Linked DNA regions of Drosophila melanogaster. The protein of the gene in region 1 purifies or fractionates together with the protein of each later gene. This does not show direct contact. Each region holds a gene or a part of one and is shown on either strand. Other genes may lie near its edges.

Evidence for each region.
Region 2: the proteins of Rilpl (region 1) and Iris purify together in Drosophila melanogaster (affinity purification with mass spectrometry, with the first as the bait; one large-scale study listed by BioGRID). This does not show direct contact.

What each region holds. Positions count from the first base shown.
Region 1 is NC_004354.4:1,389,791-1,398,447, forward strand, and holds Rilpl (Rab interacting lysosomal protein like), read left to right. Parts: upstream 1-3,263; 5' UTR 3,264-3,753; coding exon 3,754-4,368; intron 4,369-4,433; coding exon 4,434-4,924; intron 4,925-5,292; coding exon of another isoform or gene 5,293-5,307; coding exon 5,308-5,403; intron 5,404-5,455; coding exon 5,456-5,581; coding exon of another isoform or gene 5,582-5,585; exon of another isoform or gene 5,586-5,762; coding exon 5,763-5,895; 3' UTR 5,896-7,547; downstream 7,548-8,657. Other genes in the region: CG32813 (uncharacterized protein), read left to right, coding at 1-267, 459-1,775. UniProt on the Drosophila melanogaster protein: May have a role in lysosome distribution by interacting with Arl8.
Region 2 is NT_033779.5:1,131,146-1,137,169, forward strand, and holds Iris (iris), read right to left. Parts: upstream 2,954-6,024; 5' UTR 2,929-2,953; coding exon 1,333-2,928; 3' UTR 1,187-1,332; downstream 1-1,186. Other genes in the region: TBC1D23 (TBC1 domain family member 23), read left to right, coding at 1-36, 119-808; CG4577 (uncharacterized protein), read left to right, coding at 3,714-3,936.

The DNA of each region.
Region 1 (8,657 bases):
TACCACCAGCGCAGCGCCAAGCAGCTGCGCCAGCTTTACAAGAACATGAAGCTGCTGCTCAAAAAGGACCTATGCGGCGAGGACAAGAGCAACCATTCGTTCATGGACCTGCTCAACACGCTGTCGCACCAGGAGTCCGTGGCCCAGTACATTGCCGAGCAGCTGTCGCCGGAGGGCGCGGGCGGTGGCGGCGGCGGCGGTAAGCAAGGCGGCGCGGGCAACGGAGGCGGAAACGGACACCAATCGGACGACTACGACGACTCCAAGGTGGGCTTAAAATTCAGATCTGTGCATAAGTGTCCCATCCGGTGCTTAAGTCTCAAGACTCAAGTCACTTGGTCCACTTGGTGAACGTGGTGCACTTCATCTAACCCACTAATCCAGATGAATAGCTTTCTACTTTCTTGACTCTCTGAACCCTGTGAATCCTACTAAAACGCTGTCCATGATGGTTTCAGTATCATTTATTTTCCTCACACTTGCAGATGCCCCACTACCACGAGGGCATGGACACGGACGTGATCCTTATCAAGTCGGAGACAATTAGCGACAACGAGCAGACGGACAATGGCATGGACTGCCTGGACGAGGACGATGACGACGACTGCTTGAGCCACAAGGCGCCGGAGGTGTGCCTCGAGGAGGAGGACGACGTGCTCTTTCCAACGGACGTGCGCCAGCTGCAGCAGGTGGGATCGTCCGGAGCCGCCGGCGGTGGTGTCTCCGGAGGCTCCCTTCCCGGAAACATGTCTAGCAACGGGATTACCGAAACCAGTCGCCGCGCCGCAAGCTCGCCCGTGTGCTCCACGAAGACCTCGATTAGTTCCAGCGGGAGCTACGCATCAGCGCCCAAACCGGACATCACTATCCAGACCGTGGGCCACATACGCGTGGGCAGCTTTGCCAACATCAACAAGACGCTGCAGAACGGCGGCTCCGGCACAGGAGCTGTCCTATCAGCGGCCAGCAATGGCGGCTCCAGTGCCAGTGGAGTGCTGCCGCTCACAGCGGAGCAAGTGCAGCAGCACACGCTGCTGAACGGCCTAGGATTGTCCGCCGTGAATCCGGCTCAGTCTCTGCAGGCGGCCATCAATGCCGCCTATGGGTCCGCCGCTCCATCTTCATCGGTCGCCATTAGCAGCCGCCGCACCCCTCCCACTCTGCAGTTGCCACGCCTTCAGCGCGGAAACATCAACAATAGCCACCACACTGCCGGCAGCACAAGCAATTCCGCGGTGGCCTCCAATGGAGTGCAACTGTTGCTCAACGGCGGCCACCACGCACAGATGACGCACAACCATTTGGCGCGGGACAAGACAGGAGGCGTGGCCATCGGGGCGGCGGGCAGTTTCAACGGGTACAACGGACTGGCAGTGGCGGGCACAGTGTGCAGCGCCTTGAACAGCAGCGGATCCGGAGCCGGAAGCGGCGGGAGCAGTGCCAACAACAGCGGCGTGGGCCTGGGGATCGGCGGGGCACACACGTCGGGCAGCGGAGGAAGTGGCAGCGGTGGGACGAGGAGCCAGCACCAGGAGCTGATGAATTCGCTGAGGATCGAGGAGAGCAAGCGGAAAATCGACCTGATCAACGCCCAAATCGAATACTGGCAGACGCTCACCCGCAAGCTGAACAGTCAGGCGAATCACATGCCCAATCCTGCGTGCCCGTGCCACTTCCCTGGAGCCAGTGTGCTCTCGCCCGTCGCCGTGACCGCCGCTAGTGCCTCATCGTCCGCTTCCGCCAATGTGTTGCAGACGCAGGCCAGCACCAGCTAGTCCGCAGCCAAGGGGCGGTTCGAACTAGTCGGGGGTCCTGCGGGCGAAAGCGAAAGCGACAGCGACATCATCTCGATAGTGGACATAGATGATGGGCGGTCTAGGGAGGACGAGCAGTCGGAGGACGATGGCGAGAACCGTGACCAGGCCATAACGGACCTGACGCTACCCGACGAAGACGAGGAAGACGATGTAGACGAAGATGACTCACAGGATGCCTTGGTCAGGGATGTTGGCGTGGTGGGCGGCCTGTCGTCGCCAGATACACCGCCCCACTCCTCTCCGCCGCCAGCGAAGCGCTCGAAGCGCCAGGAAGTCACCTCCGAGCTCCTGAGGCAGCTGGCCCTGCAGCAGAATCAGGATCCCCAGGAGGGGTGCTAGTATTTTGTCTAGTTTGCTAATTTTATACTTGCTACCATGGATTGACGCAACCACTTTGTAACATTAATTTTACCATATATATTTATTTACGCCCAGTTTGAGTGCCAAAACAGAAACCAAGATTGGGGCCTTGCCATCGAAAATGCTTGCCAAAGGACCTGCTGAAATAACCGGTCATAACCACTCGCGACCCACTATTTATTTGCCAGCCTAACTGAAACATAGCGATTCATCTCATTTTAAAATGTCTTGCGTCGCCTATTTTTTTATTGCCTTTTTTTTTCTATACATGTAACGTGTTTATTTTTAAGTTTTCCTACGAGCTGCTACCAAAAAGAATAAGAAGAAGAAGGTGACTATCTTGAATGTACATTTACTTTACAAAACTAGACCTTACTTACTTACTTAATTAGAGATCGAGCAGCTAAGAACGCATGAAAATGAAATGTACAAATGTGGTTCCTAATCTAGTCCCTAAAGTCAAAAGTGAAGAACGAAAGAGCTACAGAAAAGAAATCGAAATTGTTACGCCTAGCCGAGAACTTGTGTATTATTTTTTTATATCGCTTAGATTGTTCCCCCGAGGAAAGCATTGAAGGAACTGTAGCTAATTTATGTACTTAATGAACCAGTGAAACCAAACCAATGATTTGAAATGGTGTAAAGAGAAGAAACTTGCTAGTCGCCGCTGCATAACTGTGTAAATGTGGCACACAAACCATTTAGTTAGTGTTAGTGCTACTGTACGTGTAAAATACAATTAATTGCCTATCCAGACCCAGTAACCACAATTTACAAGGAAGCACACACCAAACGAAACTGAAAACCAAGAAAACAAAACTATTTATACAATTTTGTAAACAAGAACTTATTAATAAAACAATGAATTTACTTTGTGGCCCAGCCTGTTGACTTTTGGATAGTAAAATTTCGTTTAAGGCTTAACATTTTGGCACTTACGCTCATTTTGCTCGCTTAAGCTGCTCTTCATTTGGCGCCAAACGAATTGGCGTTGCCCAACACTGACCAGCCAGCACAAAGCGCTACCAGACTGCGCAACCGACTGCTCATCTGGGAACTGGTTCGCACATATGGGCGCCCGCGAACCAGTTATTCGTTACTCATCAGTTCCAGTTCGGTTCAGCAAAAATTGTGCAAATAAATTGCGGAAAGTCGGATTGTTTATGTGGGAATCGGCAGCGAAAAGCGACTCGGCGGCAGTAACAACTAGAGTGAATGAAGTGAGCACTGCCACTCCCACGCACACTACTGTGCAGTCTGTGTGCGCCAACTGTGAATTGCGAAGTGCGAATTCCGTACTTCGGATTGCGGATTCCCCCCCTCCCTTAAAGCACTTGGAAAACCAACACCTGGCGCACGTACACGCACACGCACACTTGTCCTGCTAGCGAAAGAAAAATCCCTGTCAGCTGGTGCAGCGATTCCCGAAGCAACTCCGAGGAGCAGGACACCGTGGAAAGAGGCGACAACTGAAGCTGGTCTTCAGTGAACACAGAGTCCAGTGAGCAAGTGTGAGCAAGTAAACAAGTGATACAGCGCTTGGCAGGAGTCACAGATTATCTGAGCGACCACCTGGATGCCCGGCTTTCACCTCAATGAGATGGGTGAAATGGTCCTGGACGCCATCGACGACATCGGCGTGGTCGATGTGTACGACTTGGCCTCCGACATTGGCAAGGAGTACGAGCGGATCATGGACCGCTTCGGCACGGACGCCGTCAGCGGGCTGATGCCCAAGATCATCAACACCCTGGAGCTGTTGGAGGCGCTGGCCACGAAGAACGAGCGCGAGAACGCCACCATCCAGGAGCTGCGCGATAAGGTGGCCCAGCTGGAGAGCGAGAAGCTGGAGAAGGCCGAGTTCCGGCGGCGGTTCGACAAGGAGCTGGAGCTGATCGAAGAGCAGTGGCGCAGCGAGACCAACGAGCTGGTCGATCTCGTCTCCTCGCTGCAAGACGAGAACAAGCGGCTGGTAAAGCAGACTCAGGATCTGCAGTCATCGTCCGCCCAGAGCTCCGGCCTGGGGGCCAGTCTCACCGAGAGCATTATCAGCATGACCAACCACGAGCTGCACAGCGCTCTTTCGGATACTCAAGTGCTGCAACGGCTGAAGGAGCAGATATACAAGCAGCGCGACGAGTTGAAGCACCGCGAGCGTGAGCTGCAGGACAAGTACAGCGAGCTGGAGCACGTGAGTGTCCTTAAGGATAGGTGCTCATATTCCCAGCTAACGTATTCTTAACTAACCCTTCCCAGCTCAATATCCAGGCGGAGCGTCTGAAGGCATCAGAGCGAGATACCCGGCGCCGCCACAAGCTGATGCAGGCCCAAGTGAAGACGCTGTGCGAGGAGCGCGCCGACTTTCTTGCCCAGCTGCAGGACCAGAGCCGGGAGATCAACCAACTGCGCAAGCGATTGGGCCTGGCCGAAAAGGAGAATGAGGATTTGGTGGCCTCGTACGACGATGGCCAGAACGATCCCAACCGGCCGCGGTACACCACGCGCGAGCTGAAAGAGTTGATTAGCGAGCGCGATGAGCTGCTGACCACCATCGACACCCTCAACGAGCAGCTGGCGGAGCTGAAGCCACCAAGCCAGGCGAAGGGCAAGCGGCAGCGTCACTTCTCCAGCTCCGACGATAGCGATGAGGACGACGATGGTCACGTGGCGGACAACGATGATGACGACGACGAGGAGGAGGCGGCTGCCGAGGCGAACGAGCTGGAGCCACCAGCGGCCGGAGAAACGTGAGTGAGCCCATTTCTGTTACATCCTTTAGTTTTGTGGTCCCTCACCAGAGAAAACAAGAATTTATGAACGACCGCTTGAGTCAAAGTGATTAACGAACAAGCATTTTCAGCCTGAGTCATTCTTTTGTTGTTGCTCAGTGCTAACAATATTCAAATAGACCCTATGATGCAAACGTTTAATTGGCAGGTGATTCAGAGCTTAAACGTATATATTTGCGTGTTTTTTCGCAAGGTCAGCAGGTAACTGGTAAATGGCACAATTGGGAGTCAAACAAATCGTTGGATTCGGATCTATATGTTGATTATTTTTGAGTTTTTATAGCTAATTACTATCCCTAGTTATGATTACTTAAGTACATACATAGTGCATCGCTTTTCAGGCCACCTGGACACGATGCGCCCGTGCAGGGCCCTTTGCCCTACGAGCCGGACGATGCGCCCTGGAAGAAGAGCTCCGAGTCGGGAATACGCAAATTGTAAGTGGCATTCAATCGGCGTAGAGCTCTCGATTCACTTTCTGCATTGTAGCTTCCGGAAGCTGTTCTCGGACCCGTCGGACGGCAGCAACACGTTCCCGAAACGTTCCTTGGCCACGCTCTCCAAGATGGCGCTGTCGGCCACGCCCGGTTCCGTTTCCGCCTCCGCAGCGGCGAAGTAAGCGCCCCTTAAAGCATCCGAGTTGGCGTGCATTTCACTTTTCGTTTGTTTTCTGTTTTTCCGTTTCCGTTCCATTCCGTTCCGTTCCGTTTGCACTGCCCCCCGCACCCCTGCATCTTGCATCCTAATTTATTATTTATTTTTTACTTTTACGTCTTACGATTACGTTTACATTTAGTTTAGGCAACAGCCTGTATCTGACCCTGTCCCTCGCCATTCACCTGCTCCGCCTGAGCTGTACATACATAGTTTACACACTCGATTGCTGTGCCCTCATAATTCTAAGTTGTTATGCAATTTTGTTTACGTAATACGCGTTTTATTCGTAACTCGTAACCCCTAACTGTACTGGATATATTTAATACGAATCCACTTTGTATTTTTCGTACCTTCGATTTATTCTAACTTGATTAACGACTACCACATAAGACTCCAAACATACCACAGCCCCCACATGTGCACGTGTTTCAAAAATCAAGATCGAGAACGAAAACGAGAACGAAAACGATATCGAGATTGTGCAAAGATTGCCGAGTGAGTTTTTAATGAATTTAGACAAAAACAAGCTTAGAAAGACAAACAGTCCTCCCAGGTGCAGATGCAGAGAAAACGATTCGGTGAGATGAGGAGACGAGACGAGGAGGACTCTGGTTCTGGGACCCCAGATTTTAGAAAGTCTAGGTAGAACGGGAAGATTTTGCTTCAATTATCCGTAGTGTAACTGTCCCTAAGACCCCTGCATCTATCTAGATCTTCGGCTATCGCCAGCCCGTATGAGTATTTTAGCACTCTCATAGCAGTTGCCCCAAGCGGCCTTATAAATATATTACAAATTTATCAAAATACGCAAACCTTAGAGCGAAAGAAACCTAAAAGTATATATAATTGATATATAATTAGCAAACGTTACAACCTTAGCGCATTGTTTGTTGACTTGAATTGAACTAACTAACGAAACCAATCTCAGCATAGTAGATTCCATTGATAGCATTCGATTGCACAAAGATGCCAAAAAGCGAAAATCTCCGCGTTACCCCATTGCCGGCCGGCCAGTCTAAATCAAGGAATGTTTTAGCCAAGAGTTTTACCATAGACTTAGCCACTGACCAGCTCGAATTGTTGTTACCGCACCCAGACGACTTCGCCCAGAGCCCCCACTCCACTTGAAGCCCAGTGATTTCGAGGAGATCTCAGTCCGATCCTCGTTCATAGCTAGTATCCATGAGAGAGACGCCCATGTAGTGCAATTACCAATATGGTGTCACTTCCCGCTCCCCTTCCACTCACAAGCACAAAGCGAGGAAACTCCGTTTACATATCAGCTCCATCGCTATCGTCGATGCGAACGTGCCAAAGACTAATGGTCAGACCCTATGCCCCCATTATTCGCAACTCCCCCCCACTACCCACACCACGCACCGAACACCCAGCCCACAACACCCGACTTACCAATCTCAATTAACCCATCTCGTTTCGAACACAACAAAGAGTGGCAACTGAACTTTTATAAAATTGAACACGAGCGCGCAATGGCATCGATATGAAAAAGTGGACTAACGTTGAGTGGGTGAAGACCACGAAAAGAAGATGGAGAGAAATTGAGTATTTGGTGAATTAATGTTAACTAAATTTATATACACATATACACATGCATTATACATAATATACTTTACTATATACTATGTAATACCGTATTATATGGAACTATGACTAACCAAAAAGGCAACAAGGCAACAATTATACAAAATTCAAAGCGTACCAGGGTGGCACTTGGACCATGGACTGCAGGAGCGACCAGAGCGATAGCGAGCATCGGATCGGATCGGATTGGATCGCATCATGGTGAACCGCATCAGAGGGCGACGCCTCCGCATCCGGGTATCATCTGCTCACCCCTGTACGTACATCAAATTTATGAGTGGCTTCCTTTGAGCGACCACCAAAATAAACTTATGAACCGTGGAGTGGATTTCGAATGAATGATTTGGGTTGGCGGCAAGTGGAGCACTCGCTGTGCGGAACCTAAGGTGTTTATTTCATTATTTAACATTACTTATAAGTTCGTTTTTAATTTGGCTTATTTTCGATTGCTTTCAAAATTATTCCCAAGGTATTGTAAGAAACAAGTCGAGATCGGCAGAGAGTTCAAGATCATTGTCATCATCGTGTGTTTCATCGTCAGAAACGAAGGATGTTTGAAGACCATCTTCAAGTTCAAGTATTTTCACGTATCATAACATTTCATATCAAGCCTTAAAGGTTAGTAGCGACTTCAATTTGCCCATAAACACATTTCGGGGTGCTCTAGTCATTGGAGTTCTGGCTTCCATGTCGCCCGAGCCTGTAGCCTCTAGCTACTGATATCCTTTGCACAAGGACAGTCGGTGGGGTTGTATTTCGATCGTGCTTTTGGTACTAAGAAAAGGGGGTGGATGTCGAACAAGGCTGATTGCGTAACACCTGGCAGTGCATCCCATGGGATTCCCCCGCGCCCGACCACCCATCGCGGTGGTTGGAGCTTTCTCGCCACGAGCTTTTCGACTGAGCTTTACCCCGGGGCTCTGGGCCACCCACTTACCAAGCCACGAAGCCATCTTGCAGCATCGTCAACCCTGCGCATCCGCGTCCGCATCCTGCATCTCGTGCGGTGCGTAGCAGCATCTCGTGCCCCGTCCTCGAGTCCTTGCTGGGTCGCTTCTGCCGTTTACTGGGCGCCTGATCTCCATGCCGGGTTTGAGGCGTATCTAGGGCGTGGTGGTTGTTCCGGCTGGACGACCTTGAGCACCGCCCCTCATCTGCGATGGCGTTTTAATTGCCCAGCAACAGGCGATTTGTTGGTGGTGGTGGTGATGTGGTGGCGGCTCTTCGTTCGGGGATGCGTTCTGGCCATTCTCAACGGGATTTTCACGCAGTTCCAATTAAGCAATTAAAAATCTGCCACCGGACTTGGCGGCGAGACGTGGGCGGGTTCATGGTGGCCGGAGACGGCGTTGTCAGCTTTTTAATTAAGAAGATGTTAGCGTAATAGGATAGAAGGATATGCGCTGCGAAAATCGTAGGTCGAAATGTGCGC
Region 2 (6,024 bases), on another chromosome or scaffold:
AAGTGCCTCGTCTGCCAGCAGCACAACGCGCAGCAGGTAAGACTTCGATAACTCAGGAAATGTACAATACTTTGAATCGAATTAGTATACTTATAATTTCTCAATTCCGCTCCTGCAGACTAAATCAGCGCCGCTTAAGACTTCGACGCCATCCTCTACAGACCTATTCAGCAAGTTCTCCGCCGCCATGAAGTCAAAGTCTGCCGAGGTCAAGGGCAAACTACTAGACATTATCGTGAATCCCAGTGCAAATGGCGGAGCCACGGCTAGCGGCACCAATGGTGTGCCATCGGCGCCGGTGCAAGAGCGCCATGTTAGTGCAAAGGAGCGGAACGGCAAGCGCTACCGCAATGTGGCACCTGTGTTCAGCATCGACGATGAGAACGAGGATGCCTTGGACGGGGCGGGGGAGCGGGATGACGCACCGCTGACCAGCGACGGCAAGGAGATCGTGAATCTGAACCAGTACTTCAAGACGGCGGACATCATCAACGCCTTCAAGTGCCAGGAGGTGCACATGAGCGGCTACATGTACGACAGTCATTTGATCATCACGCCCGGGCAACTGGTGGTGCTGCGGGAACTGGGACGCGGCCAGGCGCAGATAATGGTGCGTCGCCCGCTGGCGAGCATCGTGAAGATCACGGCCAAGAAGCGACACCGCGACCTCATCACGTTCAAGTACGGATTCCCCGATGGCGATGGTCTGCTCATAACCGACATGGACCGCTTCCTCATACCAAATGCGGCCGAAGTTACGGCACTGATTTCAAGGCTCATCGTGCAGGTGCTTGACGACGCCAAGTAGGATAAACCGGACAACCGCCGCATGCTCTTCTTGTTTCCGCCTTTCCGCATCAAGCTTTATTTCATGAACGGCCACTGATACAAAAATCAGAGACACAAAGTGCAATGCGCCGCTGCGAGCGGTGTAATAGTTTGTAATTGGCATTGTTTTCCTTGTATTAGCTGAAATAGTATAGTTCTTATTGTAAACGAAGCGCTGGCTGCAATTGTAACATAGTGCACTCGGTGCAGAGACCGGATTTGAAGAAAATAGTCGAACGTAGTCCCAGATCACATGGCCATCCCGAGCATGCCACGCCCCCGATCCCAATTTTCTAAATTTCTAAGTGCGAATAAGGAACCCTTACCGAAGCCCTGAGACTTACAACGTGTACATGATGAGAGTAACTAATATTTATTGCAATCAAACCAAACAAATAAAACTGTATTATAATCGACACAAAAAATTGTTAAAAAATCATAGCTCTCTTTGAAATTTCATCGGAACTTAACAGATGCACCACGCAGCCGCATCTTCTTTTTTTTTTAGATTTCATGTTTTTCCAGCAGCGGAAGATTGCAGGTTGTGGTGCGATTCTGTGGATCCTGGAGACCATTGACTTCGTTGACAAGATTTTGAGCCTGCGCAAGTTGTTTGCTCCGATGGGTGCGATATAACCAGGTCGCCGAAACAAGTAAGGCGACCAGCAATATGGCTGCGCACACAGCTACTACTACTACGACTACCATTGGGTAATCTCGGACTGCTTCCAGCTTTTTCTGATTCAGCTCCAGTTTGCCCACGATCGCCAGGAGTTGATTAAATGATTCCAAGGTCACGGATTCCTGGGAAGATTTTGGTTCCTTCTGCAGCGTTGCGTAACCTGCTTTCGAAGGAACTCTTTCCCGGACTTCTCCACGGAGGGCGACAGCTGGACTGCGCACGGCACAGTCGCTTTGAATGCTCAGGATTCCACTGCCATTCAATTGGAGCTCCTGCCTCTCACCGGAGCACACTCCTATTAAAGTTAGCTCATTGGTAAGGGCCACCATCCAGGAGTTTGGTGCCACCATCTCTGTCCACAGACTCTTCTCCTTCACTTGACGCAAGGTGCAGACTTCGGAAGACTGGTTCCGTATGGCCGCCAGGGAGCAGGCAAAACTGTCATCCCCAGTCCCGTAGATAATGCGGTTGCGCCTGCAGATGAACCTTTCTTCGCCCAACTTGATGCAGTCGTCCAAGCTCTGAAGCGGAAAATACCTGTCCATATGATCGTTGATGCCCAGATAAGGTGTTTCGGTGTCCACCAGTTGGATTACGCCATTGTTTAACCGTGGAATGGGCGTCAATCGGTAGATATTAAACTTCTCCGCATCGAGCAAGGGCACTGTGATTTGGAACTCCACGTGGTTGCCCCGCTGCCGAGGAACTACGGAGGCGAGAAGGTAAATATTCCGGATTGTATATCGGCCATCCAGATCTCCCAGAATTGGCGGCATCTTCGCTTGCAGCTGTTTCATTGAAAGGACAAGAGGACTAAGCTTTCCGTGGTGGGCAGAGATTATGGCTTCAGTTATGGCATTCTGGGCACTTTTTAGTCTGCTGCCCATAAGGTATAGATACGGCTTCATCATAATCAGGTTTTCAGGTTCATAAGCCTCGTGAAAGGGTTCTTGAAGTATCACATTTATAACATTAATGGAGCTGTCAATGCAGGATGTTCCCATCCCAAGCTCGATGGACACGTCGTCATCTCCCAAAGAAAGTCGTCCGGCCCTAAAGTCCAACGCTTTCTCCAAGTCAATTAGTCCATCGTGAAGAATACTATCCGCAAACTTGGTAATGTCCAGAATTTCTGGACAAAGATTCCTTTGGATATCGCACACATCGACCAAAGCCTTGTAGACACCATTGAACGCACGTATTGCCGTATAAAGCGACTCCAAGTTGAAGCTGGCACATAACTTCCAATCTCTGGAGGCTAGCGATGCCTGACCGCTGTACTCCACGAAGGTGCCCAGACTGTTGTTGAATCCCCGCATCGCCATCGGACCTCCGATCGCCTCCCGATCAACTGGGCTTCCATGGGAGAGCGCTATCAGCGAGGGGGCGAGGATGAATACCAAACTAATCGCTTTCATCTTTCGCTTGTAGAGGTGATCGTTGCCCAGAGTTCCGCGCTAAACTGAAGGTGAGCTCCTGAGAATCGGGTAGCAAGCGGTAGTGCATGTCCATATGTATGTTCAATTGCTGATATAGCAAAATGATCGGATCATTGTGCGCAATATAAATTTTTAAATATTTGCAAGTGAGGCAATTAGCCAGAATTAGCTTTCAAATAAATATAATATAAATATATAATATACAAATATAACATAAGCCATCCATATTTATTATACATTTTACACTAGTCAAGTGCATTGAGTACTAATATAGTGAATTTACATAACAACCAGTGTCATAGCGGCATAACCAGCACCACAGAGGCCCACCGATGCGACCTGGCAGTAACGCAGCTCTTTGCAGATCCGGCGCCGGCGCAGTAGAGGATTGGCTCGCTGCCTCGCCAGGCAAGTACGTAAGCAGGCTCCTCCGAGCTCCGCGGTCTTTATCAATGAGAGTGACGTAGGTTGTGTGCAGACCGGACGGGATTCGGTCGGCGAGTGGAGGAGTTGGGTGGCACTTTAATGTGGTCTGCAAGCCAACGGCCAACGGCACGGAATCGGGGCAATACGTTAAAAACTGTTGCACTGCGTCGCTGGGACGTCAGTTCATTCAGAACAGTCGAAGTGCGCAGACCACTGGGATCCAAACACCGGCAGAAACCAGGCCAGGAGTCGAAGTCGACCTCCCACCTCCAGCCAGATCCGAATCCTATTTGGGACACCACCAGCTAGAGCCAAGTCAAGTGCCGTTTGCCGTAAACATGCCACGCATCTCGTTGCCCGGCAGCAGCCTGCTGGTAGTCCTGGCACTGATCCTGTGCCTCAGCCTTCCAATCCGGGCGGTGCCCACCTCCGTGCTCGCCCAAGACACGGAGCTCTCCACCAGCGCCAACCACAAGCTCCAGCAGCAGCAGCAACAGCAGCAGCAGCATCACCAGCAGCAGCAGCTCCAGCAGCAGCAGCAGCAGCAACAGCCGGCCACAGGTAAGTGCCAAAGTTCAGTACAGGTGGAGCAGCAGCTCCGCCCACGCCCACTCTTAAGGCTAAAGGTCACTGGGAAAATGCGAGTTTTTGAAAAATGCCCGGCCCGAGAAGGCTGTGCCTCCAGCCTCCAGCTCGTCGTCTGCGTGGGTTGGCTGGCTGCTGGCTTTTGAGGGTCGGGCATCCGCTCGAGTGGCTCCATCTCGGAGCTCATCTCGTTTAGCATATTCCATTTCCCATTTACCGCTCGTCGTTCGCTGTTTCTGCCAGGAAATTGCGTAGGTGTTTTGCGCGAGGACGACAGCTGTCGTCCTTTTGAATGCCGCGCTCCATGAGCGATTTATAAATTTCCATCCTGCGGTTGTTTTTCTTGCACTGGCTTAGTGAATCATTACTGTGCCTGCACAGCGAGAAAACTACCAATGACTTTTCTGAGTAAGTGGGTAGCTATATGCACTCTTGAAAGAAAACTATCAAATAAAATAAGTTTTAAGTCTTTAAATTAAAGTTTCAACAAAAAAATGATTATATAAATTATATTAAATTATATACATATATATATAATAATCAAATTTCTGCCAAAATATTCACGAAACATATATACATATATCAAGCTGCGGCTTAAAGCACAATGTTGCCTTTTCTTTCAACAACTCTAAAGAAACATATGGTATTCTGTATATACAGCTCCACGATTTCTCCCAGTGCAGTTACACTGTTCATATATGTAGCTCAGCGCTCACCAACACAAGCACACGGGAACCTACAGCGCAGTTAAACATCGCGTAGGCGTTCGCCACACAAAATGGCGGCCAGCCTCCTTTGTGAGTGTGTGTGAGTACGTGTGTGCGTGTATGTGAGTGGGGGGGCCTCCATGCTGTTAAAGTGTGCGTACGTGCGCGCGATTTCATTTCTATTTTTAGAAAGCGAGTTAGGCGAAAGTTTTCAGCCCCTTTTGCGCCCCTTCCGCTCCTCCTGCACTTTCTGCTCGCCTGGCGCCGTTCGCCTAGCATCGCCTTACGCCATCGCCATCGCCATTCACCACATCTTGGGTGGCAAGTGCCACCCATTGCCGCCCCCACTTTCACCGCAGCATTGAGCCCTTAAGTAGGCAGCCAAGCTCAAGCTGTTAAGCCTTTCCGATCCATTCCGAGTATAAATACGCGTCCGTGTGTGCAACACGTTCGTTAGCGCTCCAAACCGCAGCAGCAACTAAGGCCAAAAGTAGCGGGGCTTTGGTCAGATGTCAGTTGCCAAAAGCCAGCGGCAACCACATCAAAATGTAAAGGGCAGGTGCCCAGAAAAGGGGAAGGAAGCATGTGATTGGGGTGGACAAGTTCAAATTTAAATTTTAACATTTCGCTGCATACTTTCAAATCTTTCAATGTTCTAATGTAAGTTTATAGATACAAAATTTGCCTTTGGGTAAGAAACAAATCTCTAGGGATTAGATGTTTTCGAGAGCGATAAGCTCTCCATCGCACATTTTTGTAGCATACTTCCAGGCAGCGCCACTAACAGATTTTTGCCCCAGCACAGTTCGCTCTAAATAGATTTATTATGCCCCAATGTGGGCGGAATGGCGCCCCCGCCCCTTTCTACGTGTTTACAGAGCCACATATGGCAACCTAATGACAAAGGCAAACAGGCTGTCGCCGCCAAGTGTCCAGCTGTCGGTAGTGCAAAGTGAAAACAGGGTCCACCCCACGGATTAATCCACGCAGCAGCAGTCAAGTGGGCGCATTAAATATTTATGAGAGCAGTGCCTGCTGACCCCTCGCCTTTTCCTTCCTTCGCCTGGCGATGAAGTAGTCAGGAGGGAAGGGTGAGCACTCCAGTTGGCACACCCAATCCCGAAACCACAGGCTCCCAGCGCATTTTCCTGCGCTTGACAAATTTTTCCATATGCTGCGGCTATTAAGTTATTTCTGTGCGGGGCCGAAAGAAACGCCCAAGGACTTGGCCGTGGCGTTAATTGTGTTCATGTTCGTGTCCACATTCCCATGTTCATGTCGCGCTGTCTGTGGTGGCCCGACTTTTCGAACAGCTGCTGGCCAAGAGCCACCCACCAGCCCCCAATCTCTGCGCATG